Linked DNA regions of Caenorhabditis elegans. The protein of the gene in region 3 interacts with the protein of the main gene of each other region in a pairwise test. Each region holds a gene or a part of one and is shown on either strand. Other genes may lie near its edges. The genes, in order: lin-42, din-1 and daf-12.

Region 1 (8,500 bases), on a different chromosome or scaffold from region 3:
AAATTAATAATAAAATAAAATAGGTACTTAGAGCAGTTAGGCAATAAGTCTAGGTGCCTAGACCTAGTGTCAATTGATATTAAAATTTGTTAATGGCAAAATCAAAAAGTTGAAAATACTAGTGGGGTATAATTTGCTTTCTTCTAGGTACCTAGGCCTACCTAGTAGGTTTTGAATATTGATAAGCTAGTAGATACAATTTTTTTTGTATATTGTTACATATTGTGGTAATCTGGATATATTTTGGCAAATGCCAAAATTAAAAGAATTATAGGTACTTAAATTTAATAGTGTAGCAACTTATAACTATTTTTTAAAAACATTTTCTGTAAAAATTAGTCCAAAAATTGGTCAAATTCCAACTTCAATTGCACATTGTTCTAGGTTTTTTATATCTTAACTAATAACATTTTTGTTGATTTTTCTGTTTTTTAAGTAAAAAAATGTCAAAATAAATACTTAGACCTAGTATATACCTTTTTACACTGTTCTTGTAAATCTGCAGGCACCTAGGCCTACTAAGCCTACTAGGCTTTAGCTATAATGATGTTCAATAGTTATTGACGGTTTGGGTTCCTAAGTACTTCTATTATCAATTGGTAAAATCAAAAATATCCCAAGTTGTAGGTACCTAGACCTACAAAGCTTCAATTTCGACTTTTTTGACATATTTTTGGCATTTATTGATATCTATTAAAAAACTCAAAGTTTTTAATAATAACGAAAATTTACAACAAAATAAAAATTTTTAAACCAATTTTTTTACCAACTTTGTAGGTAAAAAAAATCAAAAAATGACATCACAACTTGCCAATTTTTGTAGTAAAATTGGTAGTATTATAGTACCCTCTTCCCCGTACCTGCGTCTCTGTTTTTTGTTTAAAAATATGTAAAAATCTAGTTTTTAAAAACACAAATTACTACTACAAACAAAAAGTATTTGTATTGTGTGGTGGTACAGTGGAACTATATAGTCTACTGGTCAAGTGTAATGTTCAAAAATTTATTTGGCACTGGGCCAAGTTCCATTTTCCTTATAGCAAAGTAGAAGCTGAGAAATTGCCGTAAAAATACATTTGTTGGTTCAGTGCTCACAATTTTCATGCAAATTAGTGTAACAGGAGACACCTTACCAAAGTTTTTTTGGGCATTCATATGTAAATTGAAATCAGAAAATATGTACCCAGATCAATAATTGTTCAATTTTTTTTCAAAATTCTAAAATTTAAAAATATAAAGGTTAAACTAGTGTGAAACACAATTTTTAATTTAAAAAATAGGTTCAAAATGCACTTTATAAATTCCAAAATTTTTATAAATTCGGGAACCTAGACTCTAACTTATAATACTAGTTGGTAAGTTTTTGAAAATGTCAAAAAATTGGATACTTTGAAACTGTTAAAACTGCAAGACTTTTTGAAAAATTGGGTACCTAGATGATATGCCTATGCCAATGCCCATGCCTATGCCTATACCTATGCCTATGCCTATACCTATGCCCATACCTATGCCTATGCCTAAGCCAAAGCCTATGCCTATGCCTATGCCTATGCCTATTCCTATGCCTATGCCTATACCTATGCCCATACCTATGCCTATGCCTAAGCCAAAGCCTATGCCTATGCCTATGCCTATGCCTATGCCTATGCCTATGCCTATGCCTATGCCTATGCCTATGCCTATGCCTATGCCTATGTCTATGCCTATGCCTATGCCTATGCCTATGCCTCTGCCTATGCCTATGCCTATGCCTATGCCTATGCCTATGCCTATGCCTATGCCTATGCCTATGTCTATGCCTATGCCTATGCCTATGCCTATGTCTATTCCTATGCCTATGCCTATGCCTATGTCTATGCCTATGCCTATGCCTATGCCTATGCCTATGCCTATGCCTATGCCTATGCCTATGCCTATGCCTATGCCTATGCCTATGCCTATGCCTATGCCTATGCCTATGCCTATGCCTATGCCTATGCCTATGCCTATGCCTATGCCTATGCCTATGTCTATGCCTATGCCTATGCCTATGCCTATGCCTATGCCTCTGCCTATGCCTATGCCTATGCCTATGCCTATGCCTATGCCTATGCCTATGCCTATGCCTATGCCTATGCCTATGCCTATGCCTATGCCTATGTCTATGCCTATGCCTATGCCTATGCCTATGCCTCTGCCTATGCCTATGCCTATGCCTATGCCTATGCCTATGCCTATGCCTATGCCTATGCCTATGCCTATGTCTATGCCTATGCCTATGCCTATGCCTATGTCTATTCCTATGCCTATGCCTATGCCTATGTCTATGCCTATGCCTATGTCTATGCCTATGCCTATGCCTATGTCTATGCCTATGCCTATGCCTATGCCTATGCCTATGCCAGATCAAACTTTGCACTGAAAACTGCAAACTTTTCTAAAATGTTCCAAATTTAGGCTTCGCGATTTAGTAGGCCTGACAATTTGAAATTAATATTGGTAAAATATAAATTTTAGGTACTAGACCTAGTAGGTATAAAAATTGAACTAGCAAATTTCCAAATTTTTTTAAAACTAGGTACCTAGACATAAAATTTGGCAGCTAAACTAAGTGGTACCAAATTTTTACAAAAAAAATTTCTAATATAGGTACCAAAATCTAAATTTCAAATTTTTCCCCCAGCTAGAAAAAATTGACTCAAAAACTTGGTACGTCTTCCAAGTTCAGCTCAATATTTTTTTTTTGATTACCCTGTAATAAACCGTACCGCCCATGTTATGTCTCTTGTTTTACGAGCCCCGCCGTTTTGCTCTAAATGACTAATTATAAGTGTGGAGATGGCGGTATCTTTGCGTTCCAAAATTGTTGGCGAATTGGGTGAGTAGCGACTGAGCTAATAGTTTTATAGTTTAGCTCACAGAAAATTCCAAAAAAATGAAATTTTCCAAAATTTAAATATGGCGCCATGTGTCTCTATTTGAGACACCATCCGTTTTAATATGTGGGAGCCAACACTATTACTTAGTTTGCATATCAATAGAGTTGATAATAAAAATGGTGTCTCTTGGTGTCGATGCACCATGATTTGCATGAGAATTGACGGGGCTGACAGTAGTAAATTTGAAATTTTTAAGCCAATGGAACAAAAAACTAACGTTAAAATCTAGGTAGGCCTGAGCCTAAGAAGCTTGAGCCAAGGCCGAAAGCCCAAGCCTAAACCTGGGCCTACATCTTACCTCCTTCCAGCTCGAAATACTCAATGATATGGAGCACATTTCCTCGGGTGTCCACTGTGACCTGTTTCACCAAAATCCTCTCAATTACGCGTAATTTTGGCGCAATTTTGTAGTACTCAACGGTAGTATGCTTTGGTGATCGGATACCCATGTCGGAAGCCTGAAACGTGAGCTGTAAATTGGGTAAAAGGCGGATAGTTATGAAAGCGGAGAAAAATTCGGCCTAAGACTAAGCCTAAGACTAAATCTAAGCCGAAGCCTAAGCCTAAGCCTAAACCTCAGCCCAGAGTTGCGGCTATGAATGAGATTAAAAATAAGCCTAAATCTAATTCTAATATCAGAATCTATATCGAAATCTAGGCCTGAACTTACGCCTAAGCCTAAGCCTGAGCCTAAGCTTTATCCTAAGCCTAGACATAAGCCTAAGCCAAAGCCTAGGCCCCATCTTAGGCCCAAACGTAATTAGCTAAAAACCCAAAAAAACTGCCAAGAAACTATGCCAAACTCATCCAAATGAGTACGCTACCTTTCCTTCCCACTCTACCTGGCGCCAAGAAACCAGGTGGGGGCGTGGCTTGTAGTAGTACACCCTATGCTCCCCTATTTGAGCAATGTTTGACTCATCTTGTTTGGGTGAGTAAATGTGTATATAAAGTGGTGTAGGTGGGTGACAAGAAAAAGTTCACAGAGAGCAGGACTATAATAGAAGGGTCTTCCTACAGAAATCTGAGCCTAAGCCTAAATCTAAGCCTAAGCCTATGCCTATGCCCTATGCCTATGCCTATGCCTGTGCCTATGCCTATGCCTATTCCTATTCCTATGCCTATGCCTATGCCTATTCCTATGCCTATGCCTATGCCTTTGCCTTTGCCTATGCCAATGCCTATGCCTATGCCTATGCCTGTGCCTATGCCTATGCCTATGCCTATGCCTATGCCTATGCCTATGCCTATGCCTATGCCTATGCCTATGCCTATGCCTATGCCTATGCCTATGTCTATGTCTATGCCTATGCCTATGCCTATGTCTATGCCTATGCCTATGCCTATGCCTATGCCTATGCCTATGCCTATGCCTATGCCTATGCCTATGCCTATGCCTATGCCTATGCCTATGCCTATGCCTATGCCTATGCCTATGCCTATGCCTATGCCTATGCCTATGCCTATGCCTATGCCTATGCCTATGCCTATGCCTATTCCTATGCCTATGCCTATGCCTATGCCTATGCCTATGCCTATGCCTATGCCTATGCCTATGCCTATGCCTATGCCTATGCCTATGCCTATGCCTATGCCTATGCCTAAACCTAAATCTAAGACTAAGCCGACGACCTAAGTCTAAGCATAACTCTTTTACTTAAATTTTCACTTTCTAGAAACTTACTCCTTGCAAATTTTCGAAATTTTTTGCAAACAGGTAATGTTTACTTTCACCACCCGGAGGTTGTCTACAATGTTGTTTTCCCCGGTTTTTTCTAACCGGTGCCAGGTGCCAATTGAAACATTTATGTGTCTGGGAAGTAGCAGGAAACTGTCCGAAAACAACAACAAAATCTTGAGAAATTAGGGACTCTAATAGAAATGCACCGTGTAAGTTTGAAGGCTTATATCTTGGCGGTGGTAGATTTTTGCGACAAATTGTCAACTGATAAAATACGCGGCAAACAGTGATCTACAATTTGGTAGTTAAAATATTTTTGACATCTCAAAAATCAAGTGAGATACAGGCCGACAAAAAAATATTATTTCAAAAAAAAATAGTGTTTCCGTTCCGCAAATCACCGTTCCTTGTTGTTTTATGTCCTTTTCAATTTCAAAATTTTATTTCAATTCCGGAGTGAAGCCCACCACTACCAGTCAGTGCCACTCGTGGGGAGCGCCGCCGTCGCTAGAAATTCACACGGTTTAGGTGCCCGTTTTTTTCTAGCAATCGGTGTTTGTACAGAATTTGTTTGCAGTACTGTTTATTATGGAAGTTGAGCTAGGTACAGTAGCCAAAGCTTATGGAATCAGGGTCCTGTGAAAACTAAATTACCCCCTTAGATCCTAGATCTAGAACCTACAGTAATCTTGCCTTAGATTAATTTGACGGTAGTCTTACCGCAGTTACAGTAAGATTGGTTTCTCATAAAGGTTACATAAATTCAACATTTGAAAATACAGTAATCCTGCCAGAAAACTTCTTAAATTCCATTACAAAAGCTACAGTAACTTTCTCAAAAAACAACAATAATTCTGTCAAAAAAGCTACAGTAATCCTAACAAAAAAACAGTAATTGTGTTTTTAAAAAAATTAGAATTAAATCGGCAAGAAATCGAAACGAAAAAGATTAATCAAGATGGTTGGTCCCCAAAAAACAATGTGTATCGTTGTACATAGGGGGTTGTAAAGATCAATACAAACAGGATTCCCACAGGGTAGGATCATCATAACAGTACATCAGTACGCATCGTAAGTGTAAATGCCTTCTTGAAAGAGCTAATATTTGAATATATAGACCATTAGGTCGTAAACATGTGTCTTTTCATGGAGGGGTGGCGATGTGTTGGCAGCTAAATGTATCTCCCTTCAAAGAAAATTTGAGATTATGAGAGTAAAGGAGAATATGAGGAAAAGGTGATTGATGAATAAATTGTATAATATGATGAGCATTTATATTTCATGGTACGCACCCACTAGAAGCCGATTTTCAACTTTAGCTAGGTCCGAATTTTGTCAATGTAATCTTTAAAGAAAAACTAAAAACTTACGAGTTGTTAACCTATCAAAAGTTTCGAATCCTGATAGTTTTTTTTTAAATTCAGTAGACTCTCATATAAAAGGAAAAATGACAAATTATCCGCAAAAAAAATTTGCAAAAAAAACATAGTACCGCTAGGTCGCAGGTCGTATTCTTGCCACCCCTACCCGCAGCTAAAGTAACATTATTTTTTAAAAAGTTACAGGAATCCTACTTTTAAAACTACAATAGTCCTGCCAGAAAACTTCTGAAGTTCCATTTTGAGAAACACAGTAATTGTGTTTTTAAAAAAAACTACAGTGATCCCAACTTTGAAACTACAGTAATCTTGTCATCTACAGTAATCCTAACAAAACTACAGTAATCTTGTTAGAGTGCTAAAGTAACCCAGTCCAAAAACTACAGTAAAACTGTATCAAAACAGTATCAAAACTCTACGTTAATTAAATTTTAATTACATGTTAAATTAAAACCTCTTAAAACATACCACAAACTACAGTATCCCTCCAATTCTAAAACTACAGTACCCCCCACTTAGATCCTGGATCCAACACCCAACATCACACCTACAGTACCCAATCTTCTCCGCCGAAAAATTCAAATTCCGAGTGTCCTTGATGGGGGAGAAGCTTTTGGACGAATGTTTGCGTGTTCAAAACAACAACATTTTCAAATTGACCGGCTGGAGGAGAGATCAGGTAAAAGCATGGAGACGCAGGATTTTTGCCTGAATGTTTTGCTTTGCCCACCACAACTAAACCAAGTATTTTGAAGGTGAACGGGGTGCTAGAAGGGGGAACGGGTACAGGGCAAAATTTTGAAGGCAAATTCAAAACACGTGAAGTAATTTTTTTTAAAACTAATTTCTAATTTTCAATATTTTGAAAAACCTCAACTTTATAAAATAATAAAAACGTGTAAATGTGGAATAAAGCCCTTATCAAGATGAAATGTGCATAAAAGAAACGTTTTTGATCAGAAAATTCAGTTTCTACTATTTTTGCAATTGAAGAGAACTTCTATAGTGGCAGTTGCTATAAACAATCAAAAAAGCAGAAAATGGTGAGTTGGGGTCTTTTGTAAGGGTACGGTATGGGGTACTGTAGAGGTGACTTCCAACCCTGAAACGTTAAATTTTCCAGCTTCTTGCCTTCTTCATCGCCCTGCTCATTCCAAGAGCACACTCAACGACATTGACTTTTAGTCAATTTCAAGAACTTCACAGCAAGACAGCCGATATGACATCAATGAAAGTGTGCTGGATGCTTGGTGGAGACATTCTTCCAGTGGACGCCAACATTCCTGAAAAAGGACACAAATGCACTGCGACGGTTGACAGATGGTCCTCAAATGCGAAGGATGCCAAGGAAGCGTGTGCCAGTCGGATCCCGTACCACATCGATTCAGCGCAGTATGGAACTAAGACGCAGTGCACTTTTCGTGAGTGAGGGGGTTCTGGCTACTGTAGGAATACTGTAGGGGTGAACTGTAAAGTCTCTTGCTAGCTTTACACATTGTTTATCGTTTACTCATCCATCAAATTTTCCAGTAATCAACTTGGCATGTGCAGAAGATCACTGGCAAATCCACGGAAAGTGCTACCGACTTCACAACGGAAAGTACACTTGGGCCCAGGCCAAGGCTATCTGTCAGACGGGGGTTGGAGATGATGTCAAATCTCAAGTCGCAATATTCTATTCGGAGGCCTTGAGCATCTACTTGAACGATATGGAGAACATCGGTGCTGCCTGGGTGAATGTTCCGAACCTCAACGACTACTTCACGAATCCTAACAATGATCATGGTGGAGTGTACATTCAAGGTGCAGCTTACAAGTATGACACTCGTCAGGGAAGTATTATGATGTTCAAAGCTGAGTCGAAGCATCAAGTGATCTGTGAGTACACACCTCCAACGACAATGGCTGAGATGTTCCATCTGGCGAAGGTCTACGCACAGATCTACCCGATCGGAGTGTACTCTCATGGAGCCGTGTTCCCGACAAGTAGCTATGTCAGGTAATATTTTGAATATCTCTGCTGCCTTACCATCTTAATTTTCAGAATCACCCAAACTGACATCATCGCTTACAATGGAAAGTTCACGGATAAGTACGGAAACGAAGTGGAGAAGTTTGATGCAAGTGGCCTCGAGAAGAAGTGTGCAAGCATCGGAAATATTCTGAATGTGAAGAGCTATCCAGTGTCCGGTCACGCTGATGATTTCAATGCTATGAAGAGTCTGCTCAAGGGTCATCAATGCTATTTGACGAGTTCTTACAAGAATGAGTTAGTTACCTATCTGTCGAGTTTTCTTCAAAATTATAAAAGTTTCCAGTGGTTTCAAGAAAACGGACTACCGAGCAAAGAGCGGCAATAACAGCTTGGAGGGGGGAATCTTCGAGGGAGCATCTTCCGATGAGTACTGTAACGCACATAGTCTCAGTATGAGTACAACCGAACGACTTCCGACGATGGCTGCTACAGGAGCATGTGCGCTCTGTGCAATGCGTATGTTCTAGACATGGGTCTATAAACTCAA
Region 2 (8,500 bases), on a different chromosome or scaffold from region 3:
CGACGAATCAATTATCCACATAACGACCTGCAATTACGGAGAGCTCCATGTGCCGGCATCATTACCTAAAGAGAAGATTGTGATGCAATGGTAATTGATGTAGTGTGGGGGAAATGACGAAAATAATCTGAAAAAATTCAAATGCCCCTTTGTCCTGAAATAAAACAATAAAGAATCATCTATTGTGATCCCCCGACATCTGTATCATAGTTCCCGGTGTTTTACATGAAAAAGAGCTGCTGTTGGGAAAAAATAGATAGACCGAGAGGTAGAGAAGCAATAGGAAAGTGGTGTTGGTGAGGAAAAACATCAAAATGCAGTCATAGAAAATCCCTTCTCTTGTTGACGGGGTTCTGTAACCAGTGATTACGTATTCAATATAATCACGGGCTCTCCGCATAGGAGGACAAAGAAGAACGAACCACCGCCCGCCGATAAGAAAAAGAAAAAGTGCATTTTACGAGAGATTCATTTCGAGGGCGCGATACATGCAGGAGAGCGGAAAATATTGAAGATGGGTGTGGACGAAATTGAAATTTGCATGCTTGAAGACGTAGGAAGCTTGTCAGGCAGAAATGGATTCTATGAATGATATGATGACTGCTTTCATCAATAACATGTACAATAAAGATAATTCTTACGTTCTTAAAGTTGTTAAAAATATTATTATATTAAAGTTGGTATCTAAAACTAAATATCTAGTGAATTAAACTTGGCATTTTAAACTTAGTATATTAATATCTTAAGCTTTGTATCTTAAAATTGGATTCTTAACATTAGTATTTTAGTATTTTAAACATAGTATCTTAATAGTTGAAACTTAGTATAATAGTATCCTAGGATCTTAGTATCTGCAACTTAGTTTCTAAGAAACCTAAGCTTAGTATCTTAGTACCTTTAAAATCTGAAAAAAAACCTAGCTGGAAATTCTAAAACTTCAGAAAAATAAAGTTTGTACAAATTTAAATATATTTTCGTATTCTTTGAACATTTTGAAAAGTTTACAAATTGGTATTGAAAAAGAACAAATGTCAATTCTCTCCGTCTAGACCGTTGCAATTAACGACGTATTGTTCAAGGGGTTCACTTTCGGGGTGGTCTCTTTCTCTAGCCCCCTTCTTTATTCGATATCCTCCTGTCAAGGTCAGTCTGTGTCGCTTCCTCTCTACGCGGTAGCAGCAGATGGTAAAAGGTAAAGAGAGAGAGAGAGAGAGTAGCCGTCAGACTTTCTATTGATCGTTGGTCTCATTGAAAAGAGACTGAGAGAGAGAGAGAGTCAACGAGAGAGTGAGAGAATGCACCTGTTTTGTTGAGCTGACTTCTCTCTCACACTCTCTCTCCATCTTTTTTGCAATAATACAATTGATGATTCAACGCAAAGACGCAGACAATGTGTAAAGAAGAAGTGGTGACGTGGAGGTGATAAATGGAGTCAATAGAACAAAGAAAGTGAATTGAAGCGTCTGGGTAGTTTTGAACAAAATTCGACATCTTGAAAAATCACAAGAAAGTTAAACTTTAATTGACAAACTCCAAAGTGTCGTCACACTAAGTTTACTATTAGGAAGAAAACTTGCAATTTTCAGATGTCAAATAGTAAGGCGTCCTCTGCTTCCTTTTACCTTTAACATAATAATTTTAAAACGAAACCAATTCAGTCCCCCAACCCCCATAACGAATCTAATCTTAACAAGCAAGTCGCATTCATTTACATGTATCACATGAGAGCGCGTTTTCTATCTCTCTCACAAACATATTTCGTAACTTTTAGATTTGGAATACATGCGAAGAAGAACTACCCAAGTCAGGCGTGAACATAAAAAAGAACAGGTGGAAACAAAATATGTTTTTTTTTCGGTTGAAAGAGGCAAAAGCATAGGAGCTAGAGTGACGTGTCATAGTGTGAGTGTATGAAAACGGAGGGGTGTATGTGAGTATGTGAGTGTGTGTGGTTGCCCCCCGTCGCAAACACTCACTCACCACACCCCACCGCCACTCGTACAACTAACATTTGCAGTCCGCGCCGACCCGTCTCGCGAGTCTCTGCGCTCTCCGCCGCTCATCCAATCCATCGGTATGCGCATCGATTTGTCGACCATAGAGCGGTTTCGCTTCCCCCTTCTCTCGCTCTTCGCCGTCAGCAGCAGCAGCCCCTCGGGCCGGGCCGTCGTCAAATCAAAACACTCACTCCCCGACCTAGTCGTCTTGTTCGGGTGGGGAGACTCAAGCCTCTCAATCGCCTGAGAAGCTCAGAGAGGAAGAGCTCGAAGACATACGAACGCGCATATCATATAAAAGCAGAGCATTAATTATTGTATTTGTCGCCCCGTCAAAATTAAATCTCAACAAAACAGAAAGTTGAAAACTGAAATTGGAAAATTATGACGTAGAACTGGGACTACTGGGACTAGGACAACAAGACTGCAGACGGGCGTACACAATATCGAAAATGTATGGCAAATTCGGCCTATAACTCCGTCCCAATTCTACCAAATTTTGCCTGGAAAAAATTGAAATTTAAAATTTAAAATTCGAATATAGATAAATTCAAAACGAAGAGCTCTTTTTTTTTAAATTAAGTGAGAAGCCTACGGCTTCAGTTTTCCGATGAAAAAGGATGAGGACAGATGCGTTTTTGGTTGGGTATATTCGAAGCTGAACGAGAAGAGGACGACACGAAACACGACTAAAGCGCGTATGCTGTCTGTGTATGTGTGTCGGGGGGCCGCCGCTGTTTTGGAGGGAAAAGATGATGAAAACGGGGAGGCGAGGCTATATCGCAGCAGCGACAAAACCCGAGAGATAGTCGGCTGGCAGGAGGGCATGGTTAGACTTATGCGATATATTATGGTGCAAGACACATAAAGGAGACACGAGACGTGTGTGAAGACATTGGAGACACAGACGAGCAGTGTGCGACGATTGCCGGGCACGTTTTGTGCGAGCGATTCGATGCGAGTGAATGACAACGCGACGGGGGTCTTTTCTGTTGTGCGAGCGCGACCGTCATGTTGCTTGTGAGTGTGGTTGTGAGCGTCTGTGAGTGGATTCGGGGAGAAGAGGGGGGCCGACGACCTCCCGCCAATGCCCCTTCGCCCACCCAGACACCCGTCCACTCAAATCCGACGTGTCCATCGTCTTCGCCACCGTTCTATCGGTTGCTGTACCCGTTTTTTTCTGCCGTTCCCCGCACCCCTCCGTGTCTCAGCTCTTCCAATTCCCACACCGCTATAGGCTCTCTTGCACAGTTCCCATCACATTTGTACCATTTTACGTTTCACAAGCACTAAATTCCCCCGAATTGGGTTTAGAGAGCTGTTAATCGAAAATAACCTTTGAGATCAAAATGTGTGTCGGAAACACGCTGTAAACAAATTTCGTAAACCTTTTTCTGGAAATAGATTGGAAATAGAAATATGTAGTCTGAACTTATTAAAACACGATGAATCACATACAAGTATCACAATTTATCTCCGTTTTTCATCTGGTGGATTTTGATTCTGTGACTTTGGAATTTTTAATAGCCACTCGCATTTAACATAATATAATTGTATATTTGGCTTTCTTTTTGCTCCCCTTTGTGTCATGAATTTATAAATGTTGAATTTTTGATTTTATAGAATCCGCGGTTTGCAATGTTGAGATGGTTCAAGTACCTTCTACAAATACTGTAAAGGAATCCCGCCATGTGGCAATATCTGGACTTCCAAGCACATTACCAGATGATCGACTACAGTTGCATTTCACAAAGTATATCTTTTTTTTTAACGAATTTTTAAAATTAAATATTAAATTCAGATTTGGCGAAATTCAGCGTTTGGTCCGGCAACACGGCAACCCAGAAATCGTCCTCGTCAGCTATATGGACGCTCGTGGAGCCTTGCGAGCACGCAGTACAAAACCACAGTTCGAAGATTCAATTGAGTACAAGATCTCCGCGTATATTCCGGAACCCACACAGAACTCGTGAGTCCCCCTCTGATCTTTAACTATTCTGGAAACCCTTGTATTTTAGTAGTATGGCTTCCATGTCATCGACACCTTCGTCCGGTCAAAGTTCGTCGCCACGAAACGCTGAGCTTTCACCGCAAAGGTATGGCGATACACGAGGCGCTGAAGTGAAGTCGCCCAGTTTCAGGAATCAGATGGAAGCTAGAAGAGGAGGCCCACATCTCTCGGTGCAATCCCAGCAAAGGCATTCTCGAGAATATTGGTAAGACACGGAAAACGAAGAAAACTATATAGAGATCTTTCTGCGTGTGAAAGACGCAGAGAAGAAGAGCATAGTGGGTGAGATACTGAGACAGGGTAAGAGGTGGTGTGAGAGCGGGAGATTGTTGACCCTCCAGCCAAGACGGCTGCTTGGGAAGACGAAGACGACCCCGAGCGGGACGCGCGCACCAGACTTTTTTACTCTCTGTCCCTTTTTTCTCGGTTAATTTTTTTTCGCAGTTCACAGAGATTTACCTCCCACAATGTCTTTTTATCTCTCTGTCTCGGTTTTATCCATCTCCTCTAACTTTCCTAGTTAATTCTTAGCTAAACGGTGGACCGTAGTTTGTTGTAGAACTGTCAGTCGTCGTTTCCTTTTAATTGTTGGCACAGAGCCAAAAATATATTACCCATATGTGAAATTTTGCGTTTTGTGAGCCAAAAGTACGGTACCCGGTCTCGGCACGACATTTTTTTGTTAAATGCGGAAGTGTGTGCGTCTTTTGCAAAATTTTTAGCAGTTTTCTTATTTTTTCTTTTAATTAAAAATTGTGTATTGACTTTTAAAAAACCTCAAATTTGAAAAAAATCAGGGGAAAGTTTAAAATTACAGTAATCTTTAAAAGCGCACACTTTTTAGAATTTAATAAAAACTTGCCGTGGTGAGACCAAATCGTAAACTTTCCCGTCTGAGTAATAGCTTATGTATATTTATCTATTCATCAAAACTTTCCATTTTTTCAGGCCCATCCCAGAATTTCCATCAGAATCCACGGCCTGTGTAGTCTACGAAATACAGTCCGGATCGACACCAGAGCGGGACCTTTTTGAACTTGTGAAAAAGCACTCAAAACGGTCAGGCGTACCAATCGATATTCAACTGGAGTCGACTACCGAACCTGGCTGGAAAAAAGCACGCGTCCATTATTACAGGCTTGATACGGACGGCCTGAAAGCTGATAAAAGTTTAATACTTGGCAGGCCGCCAAAGTTTCGAGTCTATTACCCGACAAGGTTGGTTTTTATGGTCAAAATTAATTTTTGTAAAAATAATAAAATCAATAAAATCAATATATTTTATATTTTCCAGTGGGGAACAGAAGCATCCTCAATGCCATCCGTCGACATCATACGCAATACCTAAACTGAAAGGTGATCATTTGCTGAAGGCGAGTTGCTCGGTACACGTGCCTCATTTGGATCGTCACTCACCTGATCATTATCGTCGAAGATTTGAGTCTTATGGTCAAGTCATTGACGTTGATATGGTGAAGTCGAATGATAATAAGGCATTCGCAGTTGTTCAGTTTACGAATATCGACGACGCTCAGAAAGCGTTACAAGATACGAACATTCCAAAAGTGAGTTTGCGCCCGAACCTAATTGTTGTCAGTTTTTAGCACAATGTGCACCGATTTCATTAGTTCCCATCCAATTTCTCTATACCCTCCACTATCTCTACGTACTCGAGAGTATTACACACACATCTTCGACACTATCCTGTCATCATTGTCTTTTTTGTAACACAATATCACCGTCCTTTAGACAGTTTTTTATCGCATTTTTGTTTTGATGAAATATTAGAATGACCTTTTTCCCAAATTGATGCAGTTCGCAAGAAAAATTTTATTGATCGACCTTTAGATACATTAGGTATTCCGTACCCACTAGAAACCAGAAAAAAGTGCACACCTCTTATAATTTCCTTTTTCTCATTTTTACTCTATTACAAAAGCCCCCAAAAATAGTTTTCCTGGTCTCGCCACGACCGAAGCTTTCCAGCTACAGTACTTCCTTGTTTTCATTGTTTCCTTCTATTTTACAACGCAAGAACATTAATCTATAGTATTTTAGATTTTACTCTCCATTGCTTTTTTTTGGCTTTAACAAAAATTGTTCGGCTACTTTCTAAAAATAGAGAAATGTTTTGCACGAACTTTCTCTTTGAAATATATTTTTGATAAGCTCCCCCCCCCCCCCCCCCCCCCCATTGTCCAACTTTGACAGCTTATATCTTTGCTGTCGTTTGTCCTATACAAAAATTATCAACTGACAATATATTTTTTATTTCTTTTTCTATATATTTGTAGTTAATTTTTTTTGATAAGTTCAAGATGAACCGAGGTATAATCCTTCAAAATAATATAGCAAAGTGCTGACTAATTTCTAAATTTTTTTCTTTCTTTGACTTCCAATTTCATATTATTTCTTTCAGCCGATGTCATATCAATCTCGTCCATCGCATCGAATAATTATATTCTACTTACCGATCGAATGTACAAATGAAGAGATAATGCTGATAATACGCAGCTTATCCGACAGAATTGTGGATATTTGTGTTGACTGGTGGGATCGAAGTGCGGTAATTACGCTTGACGATATGGAGCCAGCGAATTTGCTATTAAAACGGATGAAGCTGGTTGGACGAAAGTGAGTTTTCGTAAACAAATTTTGATTTTAAAATTATATTTTTTTGTAAAAACGTTTCGTAATGTGTGTCTCATAGCAACTCCCTTTTATCTCTATGTTCGGAGAACAAAAAGGCTGAGAAGAAAATTATGATGATTTTGGTCACATGAGCATGAATATGTGAAATATTATTATCTTTTGAGATAGAGAAATAATTGATTAAAGATATATAGTGTTTTAATGCTTAGGAAGTTCTAAAAAAAATGAGTGAGCCTTTAAAGAAGCAATTAGACAACAACTAGTGACTAAATGAGTACTACTTAACCATTGAAACGGACCCGTTTCTGGCTTTCTCGTGTGCGCCCCGCTTACCCATTGTGACCATTGTCTAACCATCTGCGTATCCTTTTATGGCGCCATAGGGGAGGCGTGGCCTGTCGTGCTGGACGCTAGGGGTACCCATTCAGTCGTAGTGTGGTGTGCGTGCGCCTGGGCGCAAAAAAGAGAGAGAAGTGTTCCCCCACCCAGCTATTTGAATCTAACTTTTAATTGATGACCAAAGTGAGAGATCGTCGGAGATGTTCGGAACCTTGTACACATTTTATTTGTGAGATACTCAAGTGGTGAGCAAGATTGATATTTCAAAATTTGAAAAATCTTACTTATTAGGTCTTTTACTTATTTCTCGGTTCTCATTAGTTTTGATAAAAAATTATCAACTGAAAAAATATTTTTCAATTCTTTGTCTATAATTTTGTAATTTATTTTTTGTTGATATCTTGAAAAGCAACCAAGATATGGCTTTTTAAAGTACAGCGTTAGGGTCTGCCTTGCACCACCTTTGCTCGATTTTGATAGTTGTTATCTCGGTTATTTTTTGCTTTATCAAAAAATTTTTAACGGTAAAAATATTTTTCAAAGAATTTTCTATATTTTCATAGTTTAAAAAATTTTGATAAAACCAAACACAGCCGAGATAAGAACTGTTCAAGTAGGAAGGGCAAAATTAGTAGGAACTAATAGGAGGAATACAGTCGTGCAAAATTGAAATTTAAGTATTCTCACGCATTTCGTACAGCTCGTTGTCCTTTCCTTCCCCCGTAATTTTTTTATTTATTCATTTTGTTCAAAGTCAATCCAATTACCATTCTCACCATTCACTGTAAGACTAAAATTCAATTATTTCATTTTCAGCAACTTTGGCGAACACAAGGTGGCCGTCGACTTTTGCTCGGATCGATTCAATCTTTATTTTATCAATCGAAAAAAGGAGAACATTGAGGTCGCTGCGAGATCATCGTCACCTACAAGTAAATCTGAAAATGATCAAGGTTCGAGTTCGCCATCTTCGTCAAGAGACCGACAGAATCTTCACGATCCGTTACAAACGCGATCATCTGTAGAGCATCATACAAATCAGGAGGATCAGGAGAATAATGCGTGAGTTTTTATTTAATTACAATTTCAAACTGAATATCATTGATTAAAAACGATCCACAAAAACTTTAAAATTAAAAAAAATTTCTGCCGATGCTCTGTATTCTTTTGTCGTACGATCTTCTACTTTGGCAGATTTTATCTCGGTTAATTTTTATTTTATCAAAACATTTTCAACAGCAAAAATGTCTGCCAAATATTTTTCTACATTTTGATAGTTGAATATTTTTCGATAAAACTACTGGCAACCAAGATACAGGAATAATAGGAAAAATATGGAAGCTGTTTTTCTATTCTTGAAAAACCTTTCATATTGGTATTTAAATTTTTTGGAAGTACAATTTTTAAGCCCTACTCAAATAATCCCATGAAATTGTTTTGTTCATATTCCGTACTCCATAATTGTTAACCTAAACCTCAGCCTCTAAAAACCTGAGCCTAA
Region 3 (8,500 bases):
CCACCACGGTCGCCTCCTTCACGGTCGCCGCCTGCGCTCTCCCCCAGGCCACTACGATTTGGTTCCGATTGCGCCGCCGACGACTACTGCGACGGCGCGAGAGAAGGAAAAAACAAGGTCGATCGCAACATTTCGGAATAGAGTTCCTGTCTCTCTGTGTTCCATGTTCCGAAAACTTGAAAAGGCCTAGCGCGCTACTTACAATAACCTATATGTAGGTCGAGGCAAACAACGTTCGCATCTCATCCTCTCTAACTTGTCAAAATCACTCAAAGTCAACGATTCAAAGAATATTGGAACTTCTTATAAACTGTACATTATTCTAAAAAACTAAACTATTTTAGTGATACACTGAAAACAAACAAAAAAAAAAAGATAATCAAAAAATAAAGGAGATGAGTGTAAGGAGATCATGTGGTGGTGCTCACTGATTCTCGTGAGCACTAATTGAATAATTTTGAAAAAGCGTGACTGACATTTTACAACTACATGTCCAAACTTGTGGGAATTGCAAACTAAAAGAACACTTGAACGTTTGAACATTTAAGATTGAGAAAAAGTGTTACAATAATGAGTCAAAAACGGTTACTTGTTCTGGATTGTTCAAGGCAATTTGAATAATCTTCACGTTTACTCACCCGTAATGCTGCAAGCATTTTGTCGAATGACATGAATTTCGAAAGTGCCGCCACATTTGCTTCGAGTGTCATTTTTTGATTTTTGTGTTCGGAATGAAGTATAGACGTCCGGAAGTATATAGTAGAATGGTATCATCAGCACTTCATTGTTGTTTTCGGAATAATTGAGAAAGTAGGTGTTGTGAGAGGCGTGGTCCCAAGTTTTTGCGGTAATATGGAACACACACACTTAAAAAAATCGGGGCCGAACGACGACACAACAGGCAGCAGTAGCAAAAACTTCAGTGCGTCCTGTGTATATGTACGGTGCGTGTGTTTCACCGTTTGACCTTGGAACGGCCCAAAAAGGAAGCGAATTTAATTGTAAGTAAGAAGTAAGTGTGAGCACTTATGCTTATCGCTTTATCAAAACACCGGCGCTGATTACCGTAGTTTGGCGTTCCGAACAGGTTGTGGATAGGTTGATTGTTTGAAGATGAAAATTGAGATATTGAAGATGACGATGATGACACTGGACTTTAAACTTTGATCGTTGTTGGCAAGAATACAGCTTCTTTGTTTCAGACCTAGTTGGTCCGAATAATTTCAACTAGAGCTCACTATGAGTTCATTTATTTCAGGTATCGTAAAAGCTGAACGACTTTTCCAGAATTTTTCCTTTCGAATTTTTCCAGTACAGGTTTCATTGAAAAAGCGTTTAGATGTAGAAGTAAAAGTCCACCATTATCTTGAGCGCATTTTGTATCTTCAACACATGAAATTTCTCTCATCATTTTCTCGAATGTTGAGAGCACATCACACTCAAGAACATCAGTTCTTCTTTCCTCTCCACTCACTTCTAAACAATTCCCCGTCAGCAAAATGGCGTGAGTTTAACGCTGCACAAAACATACGCCGAACTTCGAAAAAGAGATGAAGACTAATTGATGAGAAACAATCAATAAGAAGAAGGATCGGATCAGAATGGAACTTTTTGAACTTATAATAGAAGCTTATTACAAATTTCTAAAACTGAATTAAAGTTTGATAACTAAATGTCCTTTAGAGTGTTATTATATTCATTTGTTAACACCATGTTTTCTGAATACACACAAAAATATAGAGCATTAAATTCAATGAACTGAAAATATATGTAGCTCCAATAATTCAAATCCAATAAGATTCTTGATTGAAGAAAAGAAAATCGTTTAGCAATTTAAAGTTATAGAATACTACCGCCAACCACAAAAACAACAAAAAGTTTCATCTTGGTGCAATGGTTGAGTCAAGTCATAATAATCTAACCTGATTGAAAAAACATAATAACAAACTAACGTCGTCATCGCTGTTTGGAGGTGTCAAGCAGTTATTCTTGCTGTGTATCCGCCTGTGGCGCTGAAATAAAAAAAATTATTTAAATATTATTTATGATATTTTTAATTACACTTGCTGGGCTTGACGATTTATCATCGTCGTCAATCTTTTCAACATCAATTACACTTGCTGAACCCGGAGTTTTTGACGTTTGAATAGGAGTTTCGTAAGAAACAGCAGAAAAGTAATATGGAGTTGGATAGAATGGAAGTTTGTGGAAATTGTGGAAAGAGTTACTATACATGGCACTGTGAGAGTATAGATGGCGATTGTATGTGTTGTTGCAATGATCTGTTTTGCCTACTTCATCTCGGCGCCCCGTTAAGATAGCCGTCGATTTCGGCGCTGGGAGGGTCGAACAGTTTTCAACTCCCCCAAATTGCACTTTTGATGTAGAAATTCAGAGAGAATAAATGTTGCTGCTAACAAGTGGTGGGAGGGTACGGTTACACAAAAGATAGAAAACGCACGAAAAGAGATGATAAGAATATGACTCCTTTTTGTTCTCAGAAAATATTGGCCACTCTAACGCTTATCGCTACAAATCGAACATTTAGACACAGACCGCCGAAGATGACATGTCAACGTTCTAAAATCAGTGCTGTTCTTTGAGAAAGAAGCAGACATATTTATGTGTTACTTATAACAGTTAAACGTTTAAGCTCTACGAATACTTTAGAAAGTAAGATTTTATTTCCGACACATTTTTGAGTGGAAAAGGGGAAATAGCTGCAGAGAGGACATTGTTTCATAATGCCGATTGTACCAGAATGGTCGAATTTTTCAGTTTTCAAACCAAATATGAAATTGAGAACATTTTGAAAATTGTTCTACCATGATATGCCGTTACTACATATTTTGTGTTTTTTTACTGACACCAGTAGATAGGCTTGAAGTGGCTTTGTAAGTTAAGACTAAATAAAATTGATGAGTATCAACTCTAAGAAAATTTCAATACCATTTGTTCGAAACTTCTACAAAATAACTGAGGTTTAAACATAAATGTTAACACATTCTTGTGAAAATGATGCAATATATTTTGCAAAAAAGGTCATTTCTACAAGACTATTCTGCATCTATTCCCACAAGCTTTTATTGATACTTTGGTCTTCTGTTTAGCTGATGAGAAAAAAATTATAAATACGGTTTCAACTTTAAGTTTGTTATAAATAACTTGTAAATATCCAATTTGTTCACCTTTTTGCCGATTTATACTAATTTTCACATTTTTGATTGCTTTACACAGTTTGTACTGGCTCTTCTCGGTATACAATTTTTTAAAGCCGTGAGATTTTAGAAATCACTTACCCTGCGGGTTACTCGTTTCCTTCTCACGACGGGCTCCTCTACCTTATCTGGGTTTTCATTTGTTTCGATTTCCATTGACTGTTCCGCAATGACTCCTCCATTTGTGCCCATTTAATTGGCGCCCGTTGCGCCGAAATGTGCGCTGAAAAATTTTCATTATGTTTTTGTAAAGCAAGTAAAGCAAGATTTTGAGCAACATGGAATAGCAAGGAATAAGTTTCCAAAGTACACACTGGTGATCAACAGCCACAAAAGAAAAGATCGGAAGAGACACAAGAACGGGGACGGGAGGTCGTTATTTGTGAATACTTTGTCATTTTTCTGCTGTGATTTTTTTTTTTGCGTGGAACAGTCGAAAAAAAAAAATTTTGCTACTGCTAATTTTAAACATATCTACTGATTGCGAGCAAAGTTTTGTAAAATTGAAACATCTCGATTAGGCAAAACAGATCTCGTCAAAACTTTCTCTATAAAATAAGTTTTTCTTTTTGATTAGATATTATATACAGTTATAACTTGTAACGAAAAATTGGGAAAAAAATGTTTTTTGATGAATGAAGCTCGGTAAAGTTATCTACATCGAAAGTTGTTCTTGACGACCAGCAAAAAAAAAACAAACAAACCAGATAACTGGGTTAACTGGTGCGTGGATATCTACAATTTAAACTGAAATAAAAGTACATTTTCATTATCATGTTTTCATCCGCTTGGTTGATGAGTAGAACTAAGATTTAGTCTCAAGTAGACTCTGCTGTTCATACTATTTCTGCCTTTTTGCTGGCACGCATAAATTGATAAATTATGTATTTATCTCTAAAAATTTAATTGAAAATCTGTCACTTCTGATTATAGTGTGTTTGTTTCATCAAATCCTAATGCTTAGCACCAAAAATCTGATTCGTTTCATTTTGACGTGAAAAATTGCTAAATTGGAAAGATGAGAAGCTGGAGAGGAAGGCATTTGAAATTTGGATTTGAGATGGCATATGGGGAGGGAAAAAGCGGAACAATTGTAAAAAATGTCGTGGTCTCATTCACTCAACACATGAAACTGCACCTACTGAGAAGAATATGCATTTCTGGTGAAATATTGAAATAAAACAGCACGGAACGAACAAAAAAAGGTTTTAGAGAATGTAAGAAATTGAAAAATAAGTTGTGGTGCACTCAATTCTGAGTCAAAAACAAAAAGATTGAGTTAATTTTCAGATAGAAATTTGATATTCGGCCAAGAAAATTGATGAAATTAAAATAAAATCGAGTTGCGGCATTTGAAGAACTTTCAATGTTTTCAAAATGTATTTTGATGCAGAATAATGTTGCAAAATGGAACAATCACGAAAGTGAAATAAAAAATCTAAAAATTTATCTCAAAAGTATTAAAAAAGTTTTAAAAAATATTTTTGACTAACTTAGGGAAAAAAATTAATTATTTTTGAATAAGTTTAATACAAAATGTAAAATTAAACTTAATAAAAATTACATCTCCTATTCAACTGATTAATGGAAAAAGGAAAGTACTGAAATACTAAATAAAATTAAATTGAAAAAACCATTTTTAGAAAATGTTTTCATTTTGAATCCAACTTTAAAAAAATATCAGTTACATTTAAGATCACTTATCAGACAAATAAAATTATTTTCAAAAAAAATAATTTGAGGAACCAAAAAATGAAATACGATTAGCAATGTGCCTAAAGGTCATTTCAGATAAAACTAGACGCAACATCCAGGGAAAAAAAGAAAAAGCAAAATCCAAGAGGCGCCGGGCAAAGAGGGACCGCGGATGCCCACGCAAGAAAATGAGACGCAGAAATGGTGGAAAAAATGTGGGAAGGCGAAACGAGCATTAGGGTGGGTATGTTGCAAGAAAAAATTTTTAAAATACGCAATAGGGTGCACTTTAGAAAGAGTAATGGTCATTAATAGTTCAAACAAAACAAAACATTGAAAATAAAGAGGATAATTAATTAAAATAAGTTCTAAACGGGCAATAAAAACCAAAGGATCAGACTGTCGCGGATAGGGAAACTAAGTAAAAAAGATAGGAAGAGTGAGAGAAACGAAACGAAAAACGAGAACCACTGCACTGCGAACATTTATTGAGCACTGAATAAACAGTGCAGCGTTCGGTTCTCCGATTGCGACTTGACTGCACAACATTTCAAATCGAATTTAAGAGTGATTCTACTCCTTTGTGAATAAGTTTCAAATGGCATTTACCAAAAATAAATCCGATGGTAGCCGTGGGAGTAAACCAAACAATCTTCCCTTGGGATTCAATATGGACACTGCACAAAAAGTGTTTGAAGGGCAGTCACGAGCGCCGAAGCTCTCAGAATACTAGGGTACATCACATCAAAACCGAATGTGCAAAAAAAGAAAAGAGAATGCACTAATAGAAGAGGGCAAAGAGGGCAAAGAGGGTGAAAAGTTGAAAGACAACAAGCAACTAGTACAGGAAACCTGGATTGAAAGAAAAAAGTGTGAGCGCATGGAAAATGAGTAAATGCAAACAAAGACGCGAGGAGGTAGAAGAGTGCACAGAATATCATTGATAACCTTCTTTGAAACTGCCGAGAAATCGACCTTCATTGCATTCTGTGATTTTTCTTCAAATTCTAACAGTCAATTTTTTTTCATATTTTAACAGTTTTATTTTATAAACTTTTTTTTAATTCGTTGATTTTCCGAATAATAACCTATGAATGAGAAGAAAAAGAAAGTAACTGGCCCAGTAATTGTGTCCCAATGAATGCATGACCTTTCTTGTTTAGTAACCCTTAAGAAAAATTTCCTCATTTATTTCAGTTTCAACTAAAAAAACGCGTTCTTTGGTGCATTATTAATTTTGAGCCGAATCTTCAATCTTTTAATTTTTCGTAGTCTTTGGAAATGAAAGATTAAACACAAGAAATCATGAGAACGTAACAGAATTAGATATTCATCAGCAATAAAATATAAATGAAGACAAATACTAATAAAGACACCAATCAACTTTTTTTGAACAAAAAAGCAACAAAAAAAAATTGACACAACGAAATTTCTTTCTTTGCGAGATTTTTTTCTCAAATTCAGAACTGTCTAGAAATACTTTTCGATTTTCAAATTGCAATAAAATTCTGGACAGATGTAGAAATCGACTGCAAAAATATATAAATTTTCAGTTACAATTTATTTCCAAACATCAATTTTTCTTGATTTTATTGCCAAGCATGGTTACATAAAAAGAGTGAGGGTCAATTGCAAAGTTTAACATTACACATTCAACTATGTTTATCTTTTCCTATGTGTTTGTATGCTGTCTTTTTTTTTGCCAAAAGTTCAGTTTCGTTAAAGTGAATTATTTCGTTCCTTCCTTCTCCATTTTGTTCTACTCGCCTGCGTTCTCTCAAATTTCTGCCTTTGTAACATTTTTAACAAAAGCTAACATTTTCTGACCTTCATTGAAATTCATTGAGTTTCGAATGGTTTTTTTTTTCAAAATATACTTCAAACAACCAAAAAACCTAAACGTAAAGCCGAACAGAATAAAATAATTATTGATAACGTGACGTGAGAAAAAAGGACGTGAAAAGAGAATCACAAATCATGAAAAAATTATTTGGATGAGACTGTAGAAGGTGTAGAAGATATTACAATCCAAGGATGGATTTTTTGCGGATGAAAACGGCAACATTATCTGTCGCGGAGGTGCGGAACAGACCAGACATGTTGTGTTTCGCAACAAACAATACCGAAAGGCAAGCGCCCTGTAGAGAGAGAAAGAGTGCGAATATGTAAGAGGTAAACGCGTTTCGTTTTCAAAGTGGAAAACGAGAGAAAAGGAAAAAGGAAAGAATGACGAAGCGCTGCCAGGAAATTCAAAATTGAAAGTCTATAAGCGAAGGTGTGTTTTACAAAAGCCACACGAGCCATTCAGACACTTTCTTAAAATTTTTTGCGGTCATTGAATAAATAAAATACATACAAGACATGAGAATGCTAATTTTTCAAGGACAGATATACCAATTAATTAATCCCAGAATACATATGCAACCATAACCACATAAAGGTCAAATAGAATTTTGCACTTTTGCAGGTTCCCTTTTGTGAACTTTTTCAATGTAAATGAAATGTAAACTGGTATAGTAGCAGAATTTGTAATTCTTTTAAAGACATAGCTCAAAAAGACCGAATTTCATAATTAAAATTCTTAAAAAATCTATAAAAATCTCAAAACAGTTCAAAATGTTGAGTTAGAATTGCTGATTTCATCATAAGCTCTAATTTTGCCGACTTCTCAGTGTTGTACTTTAAGATGGGAGCAGAAGACTTTACCAAATTAGTGCACTCTGTGACTGAAAATATTTCTAGATTCGAAATAAAGAAGTTTTTTAATAAAAATAAACTTGAGACCTCTTGCACACAGTAAAAATTAGTAGATGTGGTGATGTTAGCTAAAATGAGCTCTTATTATTAAAAATTTTAAGTTGCTATTAAACATTTATAAAAAAATTTTCAAGAGATCTCATTTTAATATTTGTTTTTTTGACCGTTTTGAGATACAAATATTTCAAACACTACTTTAGTAGCTTTACAATAAAAACAATTCCATTATTAGAATTTTGAAAATCTATTAGTGAAATTCCTAACGCTTTTGTCAGTTTCGCAAAAAGTAAATCATGAACATTTCAAGCAATGAAAAGCCTATCTTGACTTGAGACGTTGAAATGGTGTTCTTCAATGTCTCGTTATCATCCTGGTTTACAAGGAATACAGGGTAATTCTAATCAACTCGCCTAAAAACTGGAGCACTTTTTCCACTGCGTTTCGAACTTTACGAACGAGAAACCGATAACGCGGTTCGAGAACAAACACAAATGCTGAATAATGAAATTGAACATGAAGCCCGATGACGTCATCGGCAAAATGTTTCTCTGACAGAACGGTCAGCAGTTTTGTCTGAATCGAAAAAAAACTTAAAAAAAAACAAAAAACAATGTAACAATAAAAACTTTGTCAACATAGGGCAAGTGAAATAAAAGGGCGAGACAATACATATGATTGGTTCGGAAGAGAAAATGGAGAAAAAAAGGAGAAAAAGAAAAAGGAGAAATAGACTTAGTACCTCTTCAGTGACCTTTAAATAAGTACGGAAACTGGACAAACGGATAGTTTATTTTTATTTGAATTATCTTCACTTTCATCGTTTCAGTTTT

The links.
Region 1: the proteins of daf-12 (region 3) and lin-42 interact in a two-hybrid assay, tested with the Caenorhabditis elegans proteins (one study listed by BioGRID).
Region 2: the proteins of daf-12 (region 3) and din-1 interact in a two-hybrid assay, tested with the Caenorhabditis elegans proteins (one study listed by BioGRID).

The regions. Positions count from the first base shown.
Region 1 is NC_003280.10:1,248,993-1,257,492, forward strand, and holds the start of lin-42 (PAS domain-containing protein), read right to left. Parts: upstream 3,368-8,500; coding exon 3,217-3,367; intron 1-3,216. Other genes in the region: clec-119 (C-type LECtin), read left to right, coding at 7,019-7,021, 7,102-7,399, 7,509-7,977, 8,023-8,247, 8,297-8,469. UniProt on the Caenorhabditis elegans protein: Transcriptional repressor which interacts with the promoter region of target genes. Has a specific role in developmental timing where it regulates temporal expression of a number of miRNAs and mRNAs.
Region 2 is NC_003280.10:11,628,730-11,637,229, reverse strand, and holds the start of din-1 (Daf-12-interacting protein 1), read left to right. Parts: upstream 1-3,643; coding exon 3,644-3,750; intron 3,751-3,798; coding exon 3,799-3,966; intron 3,967-4,015; coding exon 4,016-4,213; intron 4,214-4,956; coding exon 4,957-5,226; intron 5,227-5,302; coding exon 5,303-5,573; intron 5,574-6,427; coding exon 6,428-6,642; intron 6,643-7,815; coding exon 7,816-8,061; intron 8,062-8,500.
Region 3 is NC_003284.9:10,639,350-10,647,849, reverse strand, and holds the start of daf-12 (Nuclear hormone receptor family member daf-12), read right to left. Parts: upstream 3,411-8,500; coding exon 3,300-3,410; intron 2,013-3,299; coding exon 1,953-2,012; intron 1-1,952. UniProt on the Caenorhabditis elegans protein: Nuclear receptor which binds directly to response elements in target gene promoters. Activity is modulated by binding of steroid hormone ligands that include dafachronic acids.